3 linked regions of the Drosophila melanogaster genome follow. The protein of the gene in region 1 interacts with the protein of each later gene in a pairwise test. Each region holds a gene or a part of one and is shown on either strand. Other genes may lie near its edges.

The links. The genes of interacting proteins can lie anywhere in the genome.
Region 2: the proteins of Mdr65 (region 1) and CG4328 interact in a two-hybrid assay, tested with the Drosophila melanogaster proteins (one large-scale study listed by BioGRID).
Region 3: the proteins of Mdr65 (region 1) and CG14369 interact in a two-hybrid assay, tested with the Drosophila melanogaster proteins (one large-scale study listed by BioGRID).

Annotation. Positions count from the first base shown.
Region 1 is NT_037436.4:6,239,814-6,247,532, forward strand, and holds Mdr65 (multi drug resistance 65), read right to left. Parts: upstream 5,934-7,719; 5' UTR 5,817-5,933; intron 5,508-5,816; 5' UTR 5,490-5,507; coding exon 5,188-5,489; intron 4,913-5,187; coding exon 4,667-4,912; intron 4,615-4,666; coding exon 4,443-4,614; intron 4,383-4,442; coding exon 4,068-4,382; intron 4,009-4,067; coding exon 3,552-4,008; intron 3,498-3,551; coding exon 3,397-3,497; intron 3,328-3,396; coding exon 2,940-3,327; intron 2,884-2,939; coding exon 2,175-2,883; intron 2,119-2,174; coding exon 1,822-2,118; intron 1,760-1,821; coding exon 1,393-1,759; intron 1,333-1,392; coding exon 778-1,332; 3' UTR 687-777; downstream 1-686. Other genes in the region: Best2 (bestrophin 2), read right to left, coding at 6,825-7,393, 7,545-7,719.
Region 2 is NT_037436.4:12,290,323-12,298,114, forward strand, and holds CG4328 (uncharacterized protein), read right to left. Parts: upstream 5,802-7,792; 5' UTR 5,549-5,801; coding exon 5,512-5,548; intron 2,646-5,511; coding exon 1,928-2,645; intron 1,776-1,927; coding exon 1,561-1,775; intron 1,505-1,560; coding exon 1,317-1,504; intron 1,249-1,316; coding exon 978-1,248; intron 920-977; coding exon 714-919; 3' UTR 634-713; downstream 1-633.
Region 3 is NT_033777.3:13,590,999-13,594,236, reverse strand, and holds CG14369 (uncharacterized protein), read left to right. Parts: upstream 1-1,579; 5' UTR 1,580-1,622; coding exon 1,623-1,961; 3' UTR 1,962-2,605; downstream 2,606-3,238.

The DNA.
Region 1 (7,719 bases):
GCTACGCCAGATGCACTGCCGATGAGGCTGATCTGCCTGGGATCGTGTTTAGCTTTAATTGTTTTGCATTCCGCGTTTTCACAAATACAAAATCGTTGGCTACTACAGCCAGCTTTTTTCTTTCTTTCTTGCGATGCTATTGCTATCCGGAGCAAAATGTTCCACGTCTGTTCCGTTGGGACTGTAGAAAGCGACTGACGGTTCTGGCGGCTATGGCGTCAGTTTTCGACAAATTCGGTTTCTATTAGAGAAGCGAACCCCTTTATGGTCTTTTTTATTAATATCAATTGAATTGATTTTTCTCAAGGTTCACGATGACTGGTGGAAAATCGTAGACCATCTTACCTCTTGGCAAGGTGTGCACCCATCTATCGCGGAAATGGGTCAACTGAGTACTGAAATTTGGCGTAATTTGCATTCCAGGCAGTTAAACTTATGATCTTCCCTGTTTAATTGCGAACTGTTATCATTTCACAACGGCAAATCAAGTTTGCATGCCATTGACAATGAATACAAACAACAGTCGTGTGGGTGCTTGGCGTTATAGACATGCCGCAAAGATTGCACTCTTATCAGTTAGATAAGTTTGATGGTGGATCTTACAACTTATAGCCCTAATAATTATACACATTGCAAACAGAGTTACCTAAAACTCATCTCCGCCCATTATTTATAAACAAGTCTTTAATGGATAAAAAGTTGATGGAGTTTATTTAGTTTTTGGTGGCAAGTGTATTTTGGCTTTTGGTGAGATTTATATAAATGTTTAGATAATATTCAATGATCCTTTTGGGTCTTGTGTAGCTTGGCGTAAATGCCGCCCTGTGAAATCAACTGCATGTGGTTACCCTGCTCCACCACCTGACCATTTTGAATCACACAGATCACATCGGCATTCTGGACAGTTGACAATCGATGGGCTATGACAATACAGGTGCGTCCCGAGCAGGCGGTATCCAAGGCCTGTTGGACCAACTGTTCGCTTTGCAAGTCCAAAGCTGAGGTGGCTTCGTCGAGTAGCAGGATCTTGGGATTCCTCACCAGCGCTCTGGCAATGGCGATTCGCTGTTTCTGTCCACCAGATAGCTGAGTACCTCTGGCTCCCATCCGAGTATCATAGCCATTTGGTAGAGAAATGATAAAACTATGAGCATTGGCACTCTTGGCTGCTGCAATAATCTCCACCATGGAAACAGATCGCCGATTGTCGCCATAGGCTATATTTTCGGCTATAGAGCGCTCGAAGAGAGTGGGTTCTTGAGAGACTATGCCCAATTTGGTCCTTACTCCATCGAGGGTCAGATCGTGTTGGATATCATCGTGATCTATATGCTGTATGAAGAGTGGATTACGTTTGATATACATAGCGGCAATATTTGTTTAATGGCTTACAATAGTGCCCTCATCGGGATCATAGTAACGCTGAAGTAGCTGAACGCAAGTGGATTTTCCACACCCGGAATGACCCACCAAGGCCACCGTTTGACCCTTGAGCACCTCAAGATCCAAGCCATTCAGAATCTTTGCATCAGGTCGTGTAGGGTACCGGAATTGAATACCTCGATAGCGCACACCCTCGAAAAGATTTAATTGCTTGGCGAGAGTATTTTTAATGGTGCCCATGGGTGACTGAATCTTTGGCTTGCGATCCAGTATTTGGAATAGGCGATGACCCGCGATCAGAGCGGCGGAGAAGGCCGGCGTAAAGGCTAGAGATTGAGCGAGCATCATGGAACCATACAGCAATGTTTCTGATACCCTACAAATATTATTTAAAATGGTTAATTGCTTCAAGATTGAATTCTATATGGATTTCCATACTTGATAATATCTTGGAATGGCAGCTGACCCTCGGACACCAAAACACCTCCGTAACAAAGAGCCACTGCATACGCGAAGAAAGCTGATGCCTGCATGGTGGAGTTGAGGACTCCTCGCCATCTAAGCTTCTGGCGGATGAGCACCTCCACCCGCTGGATCTCCTCTGTGTACTCCCGGATAACATCCGCCTCCCTTCGCAGACCGGCAACAGTGCGTATGTTGGTAATGGATTCGGTGGCAATGCGACAGGCTTCCTCAATCACCTGCTTTTCCCTCACTACAGCGTTAGACATCATCCTGAAATAATCGTAGTCGTAAGAAAAAGAAGTATAATCTCTAACATTTTAACTCACTTAGCTTCTAGGATTACAGATCCCACTATAATGGGACAATTGGCCAAACATAAAAGGGCCAACTTCCAGTTGTAGTACATGGCTACGCTGACACTTGAAATGAAGTTGGACAACGCTTGAATCATGCCACTCAAGGGATATCCTATGGCTCCTTGGATATCAACTGCCTCGCCGGATAAGCGAGCGGATAGAGCTCCCACCGAGTTATTCTCGTCGTCGAACCATCCAACTTCCTGATTCACCATCGCATTGAAGGTCATGGCTCGCATTCTGGTGGTAAGCCAAATGCCCGCGTAGTTAAACAAATAGGTCTGAAGGAAGCAAACCAATCCGGTCAAGAATGCCAGGCCCAAGCAGGCCCAGGATAGAACAGCAGTACGACGCAGTGCGTCCTCCGGATCCTTTTCAGCCAAAGCAGCATAGAATTCTCCGAAGATGACCGCGAAAGCTGGATACAAAAATCCCACTGCTACAGCACTTATAGTTCCAAGAATCAGGTAGCACCATTCCTGTTTGGCAAGCTGAAGGATCCTAGAGAAAGTGCGGAAGAAGTTCGGTTTCTCCGGCGGAGCCTCAGCTGACTGGGCATTTGTATCCTTGATGAGTGCCTTTATTATAGGTTCCTCAAACTGGACACTGTTCTTTTGACCTTTCTCGAAGTTTAATGGACTCGTCTCAAAGGATTTCTCAAACAGAGCCAGGCTTTTTTCTAAAAAGTATTAAAAATTTAATTCGCTTTAATTACTTTAAACAAGTATTAATTACGTTTGGTGTCCTCAATGCTGTCCTCTTTTTCTACCTCATCGGGCATGTTGATATCGCCGGCACGAACCATGTTGTAGTATGCACCTTCCAGCGCCATTAAATCATCATGGGAACCTTCCTCCAGAACCTTACCATCATGAATAAAGACAATCTTATCTGCACCTCGAATAGCTGACAATCGATGAGAGACCACAATGGTTGTACGACCTTTACTGGCCAAGTCCAAGGCCTGTTGAACCTGTTTCTCGGATTGGTAATCCAGTGCAGAGGTGGCTTCATCCAGCAGCAGGATCTTCGGATTCTGGATAAGGGCTCGAGCGATGGCTATGCGTTGTTTCTGACCTCCAGAGAGCTGGGATCCCCGCTCTCCAATCATACTGCGATAACTCTATAAATTTTAGATGGGGAATTATTTTTTTTTGCTTAGAGATCTTTTCTATCTAATCTTGTATCTAACCTCTGGCAGATTGGTAATGAATTCATGTGCACCCGCCTGAGTGGCAGCTGCTTCGATCTCTTTTTGCGTGGCTCCTGGCTTACCATAGCTAATGTTTTGAGCTGTTAAAGAAATATTATTATAAGCTTTATAATTTTGGGTTTGTATGCACATACCTATTGTGCCCAAAAATAGCACTGGTTCCTGACCCACAACGGCAATATTCGATCTCAACCATTGGATATTGTACTTTCTTATGTCCAAATCATCCAAAAGAACTGATCCAAACACAGGATCGTAGAACCTCTGCAGCAATTGGACACAGGTGGACTTTCCACAGCCAGAAGAACCAACCAAGGCCACTGTTTGACCAGCTCTAATCCTAATGTTTAGGCCCCTGTGTACAATCACCTCCGGACGAGAGGGATATCGAAAGAAGACATCCTGGAACTCCACATCACCACGTAGGCCGTAGTTCAAAAGTTTACCGTCTGTAGATAGGGGATCGATCTTGGATGTCAGATCGATGACCTTGAAGAGGTTGGTGGCACAGCCGCGTGCGGTGGCAAAAGACTCCAGGAAAGGAGCTGTTCTGGCTATGTTGTCCGCACCAACAATGATACCAAAGAAGGCCTGGAAAAATTGCCAACTATAATATTTTTATAATAATATTATTCCCTTTTATAGCTTACAATCATCAGAATAGCCGGTGTATACTCCTTGTTTTCCACATTTCGATCATCGATAATAAGATTGACACCATACCAAAATGCTCCGGCGCATGACAGATACAACATGGACTTCAAAACCGCATCGCTGAGCCCCGAGAAGGCTCCTTTCCATTGACTTGCCTTTCGAGCTGGGACCAAGAAATTCTCATAGCGCTGCACCTCTGATTTTTCTCCACCAAACGAGACCACAGTGCGTATGGAACTCAGAATTTCCTCTGCCAAATTTCCAGCTCCCGCATAGGATTCTTGTTCTCGGGCAGTCAGCTTGCCTTGAAACTAAAAAAGATAGTTATAAACTCTAAATTATTCATCCGGTATATATATCCCTTTTCTTACCTTAGCTACGTAATAATTTAATAAGATCACCAGAGGTATATAAGAGCTCACAGCTAAGGTAAGTTTCCAGCCGTAGCTAAATGAAATGGCCACAGTTATGATAAATCCAACTACAAGGTATACAAAGTGACCAACTTTCTCTGAGATGCCATCTCGAATCTTTTCCACGTCGCTGAAAACAAGATTTAGATAGTATCATCGCTATATCCTTCTTAAATACTTACTCCACCATGCTTTGGGTAAAGTTTTGCTTGCTGGCCAGATCATGCCAACCGATGTCTTGACGAATCACGGATGAAAACAGTTTTATTCGCATCCTTGTGACCTGACGCAGCGCCACCATATTGAAGACATCCACAGAGAAAATTCCTGAGATGAACATCACCACGGATGCAATGGTCAGAAGAATTCCATACGATATGGAATCATCGTATAAGGCTTCATTGTTTTCCTCCCGAGAGGCATTTGTTCTGGAAGTTTATTAAATTAGTAAAAAAAGTATGATTATAAATAACGTAATTTAATAACCCTATATTTTTAAAATTAAATCAAAAATTCTTTTTTAGTACATTTTTCAAGAAGCTTTTATGTAATGGCGTAATTGATAATAAATCAATTGGTCAATGAACTTACTTTTTTATTGGCCCACCCTGCGTATGAGTGATATATTATAAAGTCATGATTTTCCAAACAGTTCCCCTTCTACAGTTTTCTTATGATCATATTTACTTTTGTGAGTACTTACAGTGTTTTACCACCTCCGAAAAGTGGCAGGGCATGAACATTTGAACTGGTGCCAAACTGCATGGCGCGGTCCACCAACATGGACGTGAACTCACTGTAGATAATGACCACGGCAGGAAGGGTCAGTGCCTTAATGCAGCACATTATGAAGCCGAAGAACAGCCAGCCAATCTCCCCGTAGGTGGAGAATCGAAAAAGTTTCAGGAATGCAATAGGCTCTGTGGGCTCCAAACCCTCCGCCATGGGCGCCTCCTCCTGTGATTTGCCCTCGCTGCTCGAGGTGGACACCTCATCTCGCTCCATGGTGATGTTTAGTCGGCACTGACGAAATGACAATTAAATGGGCTTTATTAAACAATACGCCATCGATCCGTGGTCAATATTTCTTCACTCAAAGCGGCCACAAGTTCGAACCAGACCAGACAAAAGGTTAATTTAATTAAGTAACACTCTGCGTTCGCATGCAAGTTTGTTTCTTTGGCCACATAGTTGTGATTGACCCGCGAGGTTAACGAGTAATAGAACATATATTATTGGACACATTCCTTCACAAATTGAAGAGCAACTATTTACATTCTTCTTCTGCAGTCTAAAATCGGTTCCTTTGCATATTTTTTGCGGTATATTCACCTTTTAATTGCCACTTTTTGATAGATCCTTCAATTATTCGCACTTGCTTCAGATAAAAGTTAAATATTGTCCGCAGATTGTAACCGCTTGAGCGCCCAAGCGCGACTGACTTCCCATCTTCCATGAGCATCCATTTAAATTTGCTGCGTACATATATCGCACCGTTCGGGTTCAAATTCTAATTGACCTTTCTCTTGGGGTAGGTTCGAAGAGACTTGATTGATCAAGGAAAGAGTGTCAGTGGGAAATGTCGTCAAATACTCCGCACTGTCTCTTATATAAACAAAAAAGATAGATTGAAGTCTGCTTTGCTAAGTGATGGATTTTATTTCAAGGTATAACTATAAGAAGTGATTTCTTCATCTGTACAAAGGACACATTTGCATACATTTTCTACATTCACATGCAGCGGATTATAATTACAGCATACAAACTTAGGCACTTATTTATCTGTACTTGTAAAGATACAAAATCTAGCTGGATAACAATCGCATATCACATACTGTGTTGGTTTACAAGTATTTACACTGCCTACACGAGATAGAGATTCATTAAAAAGTTATTCAAAGATTCAAACGCTTAGCTTATATGGCAAGTGCCAAAACAATAAGTCAATTTCCTATTAACTAAGATAGTTATATACAATGCTATTCGCAGTTCCACGCGTTTCGTAATATTTGTTCAATATTTACTAGAATTTTCTTGAGCTGGTCTTATGAAGTAAAAAGGGTTTGAAGAAATTGGAATTATTAAATTTTAGTTAAACATTTAAATTGAATTTAAGTTAAACTCGATATGAGACTATCTGATCTGCTGCTTGAATTGCTAATAAAAAAGTGATTACTTGACTTCGAGGATAAAATCCTTGCAATAATCTTTCTTTTTCAGGCTACTAATAATATCATTTTTAGTGGTTCTGGGTGGCACAATGCCATTGCATCTTAAACCTAATTACGTGGCTCGAATTCCGATCAAGTCTTAACTAATCTAATCCGACTGATAATAATGTCAGACGTACACCTCTCCGGTCTTTTGTTCCGGCTTGTGTTTGGCCAGAGTTGAGGGGGCCGAGGATCCTCCGACTTCGCCCGTTTCCAGGCCTCCGCTCCTCTGAGGAATTGGCATCGTGCCTGAGTTGTCCACTGTGCCCGTGGGACCCGCTGACCTCATCGAGGATCGTTGCTGCGGATCCTGCAGATTGAGGCTCAGGTTGAAACTGTTGTTTCGCGAAATGTTCTGGTTTCCATTGAGGGGCTTAACGGACAGCAGTGCCGTAGTGGTGATACCGCCATTGCCATTGCTCGACCCACTGTTGCTATATCCATCCTGGACATCTGCACCGGTCAGCTCCACAATGGAAAGTGCTGACGGCGATCGCTGGATGGACAAGGACACCGGTATCGTGGTGATCACATCGTTAGGATCGTAGCCACTTGCCGTCGTCGTTATCGTGGGCAGCTGGGCATTCGCCGAAATGGGCAGGATGCTCAGTGTCCCAGTGGGCATCGTTTCCCCACCGGTGCTGGTCACGCTGAAGGGGAACGACAGAGTGGTGATGTTTGTGGCAGCTGGAATACCTGCAGGTTATCAGAGGAAACAATAAGTGAGAAAAGAATATAAATATTTAATCCATTAAGCTTTTAATATCCTCTTAAGAGTATGTATTGAACTCATCATTAACTATTCAGAGGCATTAAAAACTTCTAGATCTTGGATATTTCCACTTACTGCTCGGCGTGAATCCCTCCTTCATGCTGGCTGCCAAAGCTGCGGTAGCCGGATGACCTGGAATCAGAGTGTTATTGGACGATGAGCTATCCATCTCTTTGATGGGCGAGAGCAGCAGCGTGCCCAGCACCTGACCGCTCTCCTGGTGCAGTAGTGTGTCGGGTGCGTAAGAGGA
Region 2 (7,792 bases), 6.1 Mb from region 1:
TTCAAGGATTTTATATAAATATTTTAGTAGGATAATGAAATGAATTTTCTCCTCTGCTTTCAAAAACCATATTATATTTAATATAATATAATATTGTTTTTCGGCAAAAAAGTTGTTTGTTAAAAAGCATTTTTTATAGTTTGGTTTTCTATGCCTTTGAAAGCTTAAGGATTTACCACCCAATTTGTCTTAGATTTTGGGTTTGGGACATTCCGATGCAGTTCTTCCGCTCAAGCAAAACGAAAGGCCAGGATGCTAGTTAAAAGTGCTGTCCTTGGGCGGCATTTGCAGCACATTCATGTCGACGCTATCAAACGGCTCGTCATCGTGGGGAGGATACGGTTCCGGATCCCTTCGTATCCGAGCCTTTGAACTACGCATGACGAATCGGCATTTTACGCCCATTCCGAGCCGAAAGGACGAATTCAGCAGGGTTGCGACTGCTGTGGCAAATGCTTTGTGCCTGTCAACCGAGCGGAACTAATTTCGAGACTGCACCTGCAGAGCCACCAACATGGGATGCACCAACCACCAACCCGGCCGGTGGGTGGATTGCGCAAGTGGTCCAGCTTCCAAGGGGGGTGGAAGGGCAGTAAATCCACTTATCCGGGTTCGGGGTGTTTAAGTTCGATTGCTAGCACATTAACATTCTTTTATTTTACAAGGTCTAATTTTGATTTGGGCTTAAAATTCGACGGCCTTCGCCGGGCGGACTAGTGATCCATGGAGTCCTTGACGCCGCATTCGCCGTAGGATTGCAGCTCCTCCGGCCGGAAGTAGGAGCTTTGCATACTATATAGTCGGTCGATCGGATTGATCATAGGCGTCTGGGCAAAGGGACCCATTAGTTGCTGAAAGGTGGCGTAGCTCAGACCTAGAATGGTGTTCAATATGGGCTCGCTGTTCTTGTTGCAGTTCTCTGTAAATTGTATTTTATATTCCTTGATACGTAAATATCCTTAAAGGGCATAACCCACCTTTATTGGTCTCCATACAGTTGAAGGGCACTTGCTCCTGTTCGTCCTTAATGGTGCATCGCATCCGGGTCAGTCCATCGGAGGTCGTCGAGTACGGCGATTCCAGCTGTGATTCGCTGTCGCTGTGCGCCTCGTCCTTGATTTTGGTGGCCAGACTGCTGTCCAGCGATTCCTGCGAGTCCTGCGAGTCACTAGCTCCTTTGCTGGGCGGCTCCTGCTTGGCCTTCTTCTGAATCTTTTTGACCTTGGCTCGCTGGTTCTGGAACCAAACCTACAAAATACGATATTGGTTTAATAGAATATGTAATGATTAAATTCCATTTAAACCTCTTTACGCACCTGCACAATTCTCAGGCTTAATCCAGTATCCTTGGCCAGATTCTCTCTCACTTTTCGACACGGTTTCGGTGAGACTTCGAAGGAGGCCTTAAAAGCTCGTCTTTGCTGCGTGTTTAGAATGGTTCTCGGTCGCTTGGGTCCTCTTCGTCCGTCTAATTTGGGCGGGAAAAGCTCATCGCCATAGAAATCTACATAGTTATATGGTTATCATTGGGAACCGATTTCGAATAGGGCCATTACCCACCGTATCCCTGTAGCATCTCCACCTCCTTCTCGTAGTCGAAGCGGCAGAAGAGCTGCCCCTGTTTGACCACATACTGCTCCCCCTTCTTCAGCAGAGCTCCACACACCACACAGGCGAAGCACTTTAGATGGAAGACGTTCTCGTGGCATCGCATCACCAGCTCATCGGCGGCGATTTTAAGGCCACAGCCAAGGCAATGATTGCGGATGTAGAGTCTGTGGAGCGAAAATATAAATATATATCATATCATTCAAATATTAAGCTGTACCATTTAATAAACACTACCATTTTAAAGTAAGTGCAACTCACACGGAGTTGATTGTTTTAAGCGCCCCCCGTTTGGCAGGGTTCAGTAATCAGGACTCACCTCTCGTAGTCGACGCGGCAGTAGAGTTTGCCCTCCCTCGCATAACAGGAGTGGACCAGGTGCAGCGAGCAGGCGGTGCACTTGAGGCAGCCCTCGTGGAAGGAGTTCTCCACCACGCGCATGATGTAGCGATCGCAAATGGGCTGGCAGCAGTGGGCGCACTGGCTCAGCTGCGGCGATGCCATGGCCAGGCCCAGTTCCATGCCCATGCCGGAATTGGAGGCCATTCCCAGAGGCGCTTGCGGTGTGTTGGATGCCGATGGAGGTGCTGCCGGCGTTGCAAAGCCGTCCATTCCATTGAGGCTGCACTCGCCCAAAGTGATGCGGTTGCAGTGTGTATGGTTGGGTGGTCCTGGACCATGTCCTGTTCCTGTTCCCATTCCGGTTCCTGTGCCCGGTCCCATGCCCATCGGTTGCTTGTTTATGGCCATGTTGCTGCTGCTGTTGGTGCTGCTACTGCTGCTGCTGTTGCTGCTGTTGTGGTTACTGCAACTTCCGTTGACAGTTCTGCTGACTGACGCCATTTTGTCATTGTGGGCTACTCCGGCTTTGGTACTCGCACTCCTTCCGGCTGCCACCACCACCGATGTTGCTGCTGTCGTTGGTGTTGTTAACATGCGTTCATTTCCGTTCAACAGCAGCAGTTGATTGAGGCCCCCAGTTTGCGGCAGTTGGCCAGCACCCAGTTGCTGCTGTTGACATTTTATGTCCATCGGAACTATTTTGGTTTTGCGGTCGTGTCGTTGGTCCAGATCAGCCCACCGCCCCAAAGGAACATGCAAATGAGAAACATTTCAGTTATTTTTATTTTCAATGTGGCCAAGAGCGCCCTCAATTTACAACTATGGTTCGGTCATCAGGCATAAAAAGGGTTCCCGTTTTTGCGGGCAGGACCAATGTCCATCTGCCTCGCACTGTGACCATAACCGTTTCGAGTTGTAGTAAATTTGTGGTTTTGCAATTATTGAAATGACTTTTCCACCAACGGAAAGAGTGTGAGTAAATGTGCGAGTGTGAGTGCGACTGCACTCGAAATTCCCCGAAATGCCATGCGAAATGTGGCATGTAAAAAATACGACCAACGTGGCGTATGCGTAACCGATGCGTATGTGCGATTGTTTGGCTTGGTGGCAAAAAATTACTGTACATTTGCGGTGCTGACTGGTTGGCTTTTTGTGCCTTGTTGTCTCAATTTATGGCAAATTGTTGAAATTTCAACGTAATTTGTTTCGAGCTTCCAGCTTTTGTGCTCCTCTGTGTGTGTGTGACGTTCATTTTGTTTGGTTTTTCCCTTGTTTTCACTGGTGTGCGTTTCACATGCGTGTGTGTTTGTCATTCCGCATTTGAGTGATTTAAATGTGTGCGTAATTTCATTAAATGTTTTGCAAAAATAATATCTGGTATGCCAATTTATGCCAGAAATATGCCCAGAATGTTAAAGTATTCCAGCCATCGTTTACATTAACAATTTTTGCTACACCTCTTGCACTGATTGACGTGAATTGCTCTAGACCAGCTTGCACTCAGTTTGTTCTGCCAAATGACAAATAAATGCGAAAATAGTCGATTGCAGCTCTCAGTACATTTAATTGGACTGCATTTAATTGCCATTTGGATATAGAAAAACTATGCAGAAAAATAGCTGGGAAAATGGGAATCAAATAGTGTTTTGTCAACCAATTAAGCGATTTGTAAAATAGTCAGCAAATATTTTTGTGACTTCAGTACTCTAAATGAAATTCAATATAGTTTTTGGTTGATTTATACAAAACCACCGCAATATAAAACCTGCAGAAACAATTTAGCTTTGCTCTATCTAAAAACATTTAGAAATTAAGCTGAAAACTTGTTCTTTGAATTATTTTGTAACTTTTGGCATTAGCATTATATATATTTTTTTAAAGCATTTTTTGAGTTTTCACCTTTATATACAATTCTTTTTATATATTTAATAATGAATTAAACTTCATTTATGTGTAACAAAATATTGCTGACATGTGTGCTATGTTCGTTGGGTGTATTTTGGCTTTATAAACTTTTCAATATGCTACTTATTCATAGCAACTGAAGTCTCCAGCAGTGTTTAACCCAATTTCCAAGGTCCTGATCTCCCCATTCCCGATACCCATTAACTTGTGACACTTGGAACTGCGGGAAGCTATTTCCTAAGATGTGCAGCGGAATAATCCGCTCAACAACCACACCTGTTACACTTTTAGTGCTCTGTCATTGCCATTTGACATTTGAAAATATACCAACATGTTTGCCGGACATGTCGGAGAATAGAGCTCGAGGATTTTGGGACGACAAGTGTAAAGCCGACATTGATAGCACTTCCACTTGCCCACGCTCTAATTAGATTCTAATGTGCAGTGGAAATCGAGGGACGGGTTGCAAATGCCACCCCTTGCAGTGCTCATAACTATGTAGATTATAAACGAATTTCAATGAATCCGGGGGCTAACCGAGGGCATTTAGCTGGCGGATTTCCACCCTTACGGAAAATATGCTCGGGCTTAGCAAATAAGCATGAGGATGAGGCTGGAGGGGATCAGGATTTCGGTTACGGCGGCTGGCGGCTGGCTGCTGGCGGCATATGTTGGCAGTCGACGACAGTGAGTGGGTAAGCGGAAACCCTTGGAAATGCTTGCCAGGATGTCGGCTGCGCTGCCAGGATGCTGTGTGCTGCCTCCGAATCCGCTGTCAGTTGCCAGCAGTTCGCTCGGCAGCAACTGACAGCGCTTTATTTAATCGGATTTGAGTAGACAATAGAGTTATGGTGCCATTGCCGTTTTGTTGTGCCAGCAATCGCAGCGCAAATGCTTTGTTTTGTCCTAATCTCTGACAGAAGTCAAAATTTGCTTTGCTCTGGAAAATATGTTGTAATTTTCATTGGCTTTCAGCCAGTCGGATTCGAGTGGACGTGTGTGCAGTCGGTCATATGCATACTTGCCACTCTGGGTGCTAAATAGCATTCACTGAAGGCAAATTGAAGCAAAAGTGTTGAGATGCAATGTTTAAACTTGGGATTTGCTTTGTGCGAAGTAGAATTTAGCAAGAAAATGGCAAATTTTCACAAATAATTCATCTTTGGTTTCTAATAATTTCATGTGCAAAACTTATTTATGCTGCTATTAAGTTAGTATTTTTAAAACCAATTCAACTGAATAAAATTTGTATAAAATGTGCTGATCTCTTTGACTGTTATAAATCAAAATCACTAATGGCCAAAACGAAAATCCACTTTATACCTTTGAAAAGTGTGCAATTGTGATATCACAATTACCGATATAACACATGATACATGGTGGCTTATTCCTAATTCACTTATCTAAAGGTATTTGATTTGAGCTAATCACTTGATGCTAATATTTAAACTATGATTAAACTAGAGAAAAAGTGAATGAAATATATGCACTCTTCTACTTGAAGCTATTTACATACCATAAATTAATGAGCACTTTTTAACATAATTAATAAACTGATAGAAAAATGCCGACGGGATTGGGAATGTTGGGCTTGTAATGCCGTCGGTTATTGGAATAGATTCAGACTTCATATTCCTCGGGTTTGCCCATACTTACACATTCCGATCTGCATGGGATGGTGTTCGTCGATCATTTTGGAATCGTTCAGTTCGGGAATAGAAAAACTATATAATCACGTTCACAGACATTTATGAAATTTTCTCAGGGCTTTTCACGCGATTTTCCTACGTATCTTTGCACATTTTGTGAGCACAGCTTTCAGGACGCCTAAGGACACATTTGGGGACTCGAAATGCAGTTGGCAACTGTTGTTTTGGGGCGGCCAGTATCGGACTTCTGACCTGGCCCTGTTACGAAACGCGATGCTTGAATGATTACGGACCTCTGATGTTAATGAAATTTGTTAAAAATCATTTGCTCTTCTTTGGCCAAATGCACAAGCATCTGCTGCCGAGATAGGAAATTCTCTCCAACCCGAAGGAGAAGTGCCCACTGTTTGCCTTTGTGTGTGTGTGCGTGTGCGCCATTTTATGGCACATCCTGTGCTCCCATATCCTTTTTGGCTCCATCCCCGTGCAAGCCATTGAGAGCCAGCCATTTGCCTTTCCCCAGCTTCCGTGAGATTCGCCAGCTTTTGGCGCATGCGTCGATCGGAACCCCCATATCATACCATCTCATCTCATCTCATGCGTTTTAATGCCGATTTTGAATCCGGGTGGCGCTTCTGAGTTGTTTTGGCTTTTTGTGTTTTGCTGGTTTTGTTGTTGTTGTTGTTGTTTGATTTTTCATTTTGCACTTTTGACTTTTGTCTTTGTCTTTGCTCGTGGGCACATTTATTTGTTTTGTTGTACGTACGTATTTTGTATTGACAAAAGGATGTTTGGCTCGGCGATTTCTTGCTTGCTTTGTCGCCTCAGCAACAACATCCCCGCCCCCCCAAAAAAAAACAGGACTCTCCCTCAATGGCTGGAATTTTGTTGTCCTTCTTTTCTTATTTTTATTTTTACCGTGTGTGTGTGTGTTTGTGAGCTGGCTAGGATTTTATTCCCTTTTCCCGCAGTGGCTTGTACATTTTAAATTTATTGATTTTCGAACGCTATAAAAAGGACTAAGCTTAAAGACCAGTCCCGCTGCTTTAATTAAGGTTTGCGGCCCAGTGTCCAGGAGAATTTTGCTCAAAGAGCTAGCTGTTAATGAGGGTGGCCGGTGGCCCTTTAAACCTGGCCAAAATGAATTTTCTGGTCTATTAAACCGGGGCGCCAAAAACTTTAATGTCTAAGCACTTTGCCGGCTGACTGTATGTCTAGCTTCCAGTTCAGAGTTCCCAGTACCCAGTTGCCGAGATGAGGACTTGTCTGGTCGAAACTCCTGGCTCTTGGCCTCTTTTCCGACGAAAATTCCCAGAAAAGTTTCGTAAACGCGAACGTGTTACTCACAATTAGTGTGCGGGCGAACCATTTAACTGGCAACCAACCAGCCATCTTTCGCTTTCCCAGCCCACTTTTCCCAACTCCGACGATGATAATAGTTATGTGCGGTAATCTTTGCGATTCATAATCAGTACACGGAGCACGGGGATGTGCAGGGAATTTAAAGGACAATGGAGCTACATTAAATGCTTGATCCTGGGGGATTTTGCGATGGGTACTTCTTTTGTTGTGCTTCTTTTATATCAGGTAGGAAACATGTAATTTCTTAATAAAGGAGTGACAATAAATGTTGGCATTTGTTTAACTAAGTGCCAAAAACAATTGCTAAGTAATGCAAGATTTAAAAATACATTTTTATAAAAAATTGTAAGATCATTTAAACTGTATTGTGTAATTCATAATAATTTATTTTGTAATTATTAATAATTGTTATTTTGTTTAATTTGTTCATTTACTAACTGTTAACCTTATATATTTTTAGTTGGCACCTTAAACGATATCTATGTGTATTATGTTAAATCTTATAAATAATATTTATTGAACAATATTCTAAGAAATCTATATTTGTAGCTGATGATGATGAGTAATTGTTGCAGTTCTGTTGTGATGTTGTGATTTTGAAATTTTCATATACATTTCTCTCTCCTCCCTTCAGCTTCATCTCGCAAAGGCTTCCAAACTTTTGGCACTTTGTCTACGCAGAGCCTAGACATGGAAACTCAAGGGCGGCGGTTTTGGAGGCACCACCGCCTCCATCCCTGCATCCATCCATCTATTCCTCCATCCATCCCGAAATCCCGATGTCATCGCCTGTGAGGGGCCTTTAGATCGCATACCACTCGACACTTGCAGTTGGGCCCTGCTAATGACAAAGATTAATTTGGGTCACTGTGTTTCCGACGGCATTCCGATATTGGGGCCATTTGCGAGGGATCCGGTTGAATTGA
Region 3 (3,238 bases), on another chromosome or scaffold:
TGACACCCACAAACAGCGGGCCATGACTTTCTTTTATAACAAATATATTCATTTCATACTCGTTCGGAGGCAACAAATCGCGTGACATGCTGACAGCGGTACTTGGCCCTCGTGTTGCTGTTGTTTCTGCTGAATTTGTTGAGTGGAGAGTGTAAAACTCAACTATTGTCTTCATTTTTCTTGCAAATCATGCAAGGCAATCTAAAATGTTGACACATTGGCAAACACATATGTGGTTGTATGTTCACGCCGACATGGGCAAATCGGCACATATTTATATATTGTAGTATAGGGGTGAGGAGTACAACGGCAGCCAGGAACATTGTACACAAAAGAGGGTAAGAGAAAAAAAAGAAAGAAAAAAAAAAAATATTTGGCGCCCTTTTTGCCCATGTCACTCAAGTTCAAGGTTTACACGCTGTCGGTTAAGGTTACGCTTTTATGTATTATCGCTGAATTGTCACAAGTCTGCGCTTTGTCTCGCAACGAGCGCTTTGAAAAATTACAATAATTGTTATTTACGCATATCTGAACATGAAATGTGTCAATTGGCAGCCAACGAGCTAGCAAAGCGAACGCAACGCAATGAAAGAACGCAACAACGTGGCGTATGCGTAATGTGTGAAAAGGGACACAAGGTCTGGCACTTTTGTCGGGCGGCAAATGAGTGGTATTGGGTGGTGTTCGGTCGGAATGGCAGTAGTGAGGGTATTTGCGACGAGCATCAGACAAATGCTGTCAAGCCTTCATAATTTGGTTCATAAAGCGATTTAGGTATAAGCTTCGAGAGGGTGTTGTGAGTCCCTGGTCAAGCCACAAAGCCACATTAAATGATTTTTCTCGGTTCGAGTAGGTTAAATAGGTTACATAATCCTAAAAATTCGTTTTAAAATTGCACCTTTCACATAAAACAGCAACATGAAAGTATCGTGTTCGTATTGATTGAGTTATACAATTTTCCCGGCTTTATTTCATATGACTTTTTGCAATCGTGTTTTGACTGCTCCTGAATTTTTTATAAACAAATTTTAATTGCCTCCAATTAAGATACTTAAAAACGAACACCTATCGCATTGAAAATAATGTGCTTGGTTTTTCATTTAAAGTTGGGAAAACATAGCTATAGAAAAAAAGTTCTGCATAATTTAATGTTAATAAATCTATTAGCAGTATCTTTATTTATATTAAAATAAATAACATTAGGGTATCCAATCTTCATTGCATCTGCTGTTTTGAGTTCCTATGATTCTATACCACATTGATTGGCTCGACTAATACGTCACATTTGTTAGAACCTTTTTTTTGTCTTCAGCTCTTGTACTGCTTTTTATTGGCCACCAATTTTTTGCGGGCGTTCTGAATGAAGGCATTAGCATTGGCTTCAATTAGCGAGCTTTAAATTTAAAAACAAACGCCAATGGTGTTGGCATTAAATTCAATCGAAGTACTCACTCTACATATAAATAGGAAACAGCGGCGGCTCTTTGACTGGCAGTTGTGTGGAAATCATTGACGCGGTTTGTCGATTGAATTAAATATAAATATCATATTTTCATCGTTAAATTAAATAATTAAATATGCCATTGCCATTGCAATTGCGATTGCTGTTGCTGCCTCTGGCGATGATTTTGCTGCTGGGCACGCACTTGAGTGGCGCGTCGGCTGTTGACAAGGATGTGGCACCAGTTGGCTATGTAAAAACGGATTTGCTGTCATTGGAGCAGGAAATTGGCGGCGCTGCGGATTCGCAGCGAAATCTGCTTCCGGTTCGTCGAAGGCGTGGCATCTTCTTCAGCGGCAGCATCGGCGGATTGCCGTTCCTCAACTGGGCCAGTGGCTATTCTTGGGCATATCCTGGCTATCCGTACAACTACTATGGCTCACCATCGCCTGGCTATTATGGTTATGGCAGTGGCTACTATCCCGGCTACCTGGGCTATCAGAAAATTATCATCGGTTAATGCAGATTTGTGAGAGAACGAAAAGACAGAGCGAAAAATCGATTAGAGAACCCCTTTTCAATGTGAGATTATAAATAATGGCCAGGAAGGAGCGGCGTCGACCCTTTCGCAGTTTGTTATTTTACTTATTGTTGGTGCTTTTAAATTAATTTGCCGGACACAGGGAAAAAGTTGAGCTAAGTTGAAGAGGTGGGGCGCGTATAAAAAAAAAATGAAGAACATGAAATTGCACAATTTATATTCATTTTGCACAGATTTTGCATAAATCATTTCGCAGCGACCAAAATGAAACGCGTAACATAATTTTTAACCCTTGATAATTTTTTATGACAAGCATTTTCGTTATTTTCCCTCCGTGGGACCACCTTATTTGTTGCTGCTGTTGTTGTTGTGGGGCCGCAGCGAAATGCAAATAAAGCGGATCAAAAGTTTGCTGTTAAAAGAAGATTAATTGCAATTTGGTGGCAAGACCTGAAACATTTCGAACCCCACAACAACCCATCGAAAATCCGCTGCCCAATCGGCGCGGTGGGCAATGGGCGGTTGGTAATTAAATATTTTTAAGCTGTAAATGGTTTCCATTTACGTGATGCTGTTCTTATTTTGTATTTGCAATCAATAAAATTCATTAAACGCACAACAATAACAACCAACCAAAGAAGGGAACCAGCCAAATCAAATAAAATACATTCCTCAACGGTCTTAGTTTCAATTGCCACTCCACCGGCAGTTGTAAATTGTTACTCTATTATAAGTGCTGTCCTGCAGTTGTTGCAGTTTCGCAAGTGGCTATTGTTTATTCATTCAGATTTATAATCATTTTATTGCCGAGGTATGCTCAATTTTTTAATCAATTTACATAATTTATGCCCTTTTTATGAACTTCACTCCCAATGGGATCAGATGAACGCATTCGGTTTGTGAATTGTTGAAGAGAGCGCAGCGGAAAATGTTTCAGTTTTGATAGTTGATCTGCTATAATATTGAATTATCGTTATACAAGCAGTTGTCACGTTGTAAATCATTAAAAATTAATTATCGATTCAACAGGACTGCTGTAACAGCAATGGTGATTTTTGCCTTAACAGTCTCACAAACTCAATGGAAATGCATTTTTATATTGCCTGCTAAATGTTAAAAATGATAGAAGTATTAATTAGTGGGCGAATTGAAATAATTGTATCCATATATAATTATATAAAACTAAATTGATTTATTTTTTTGGTCATACATGGACGGATATTTAAAATCTTCAACATACATTAAACCATGATTTC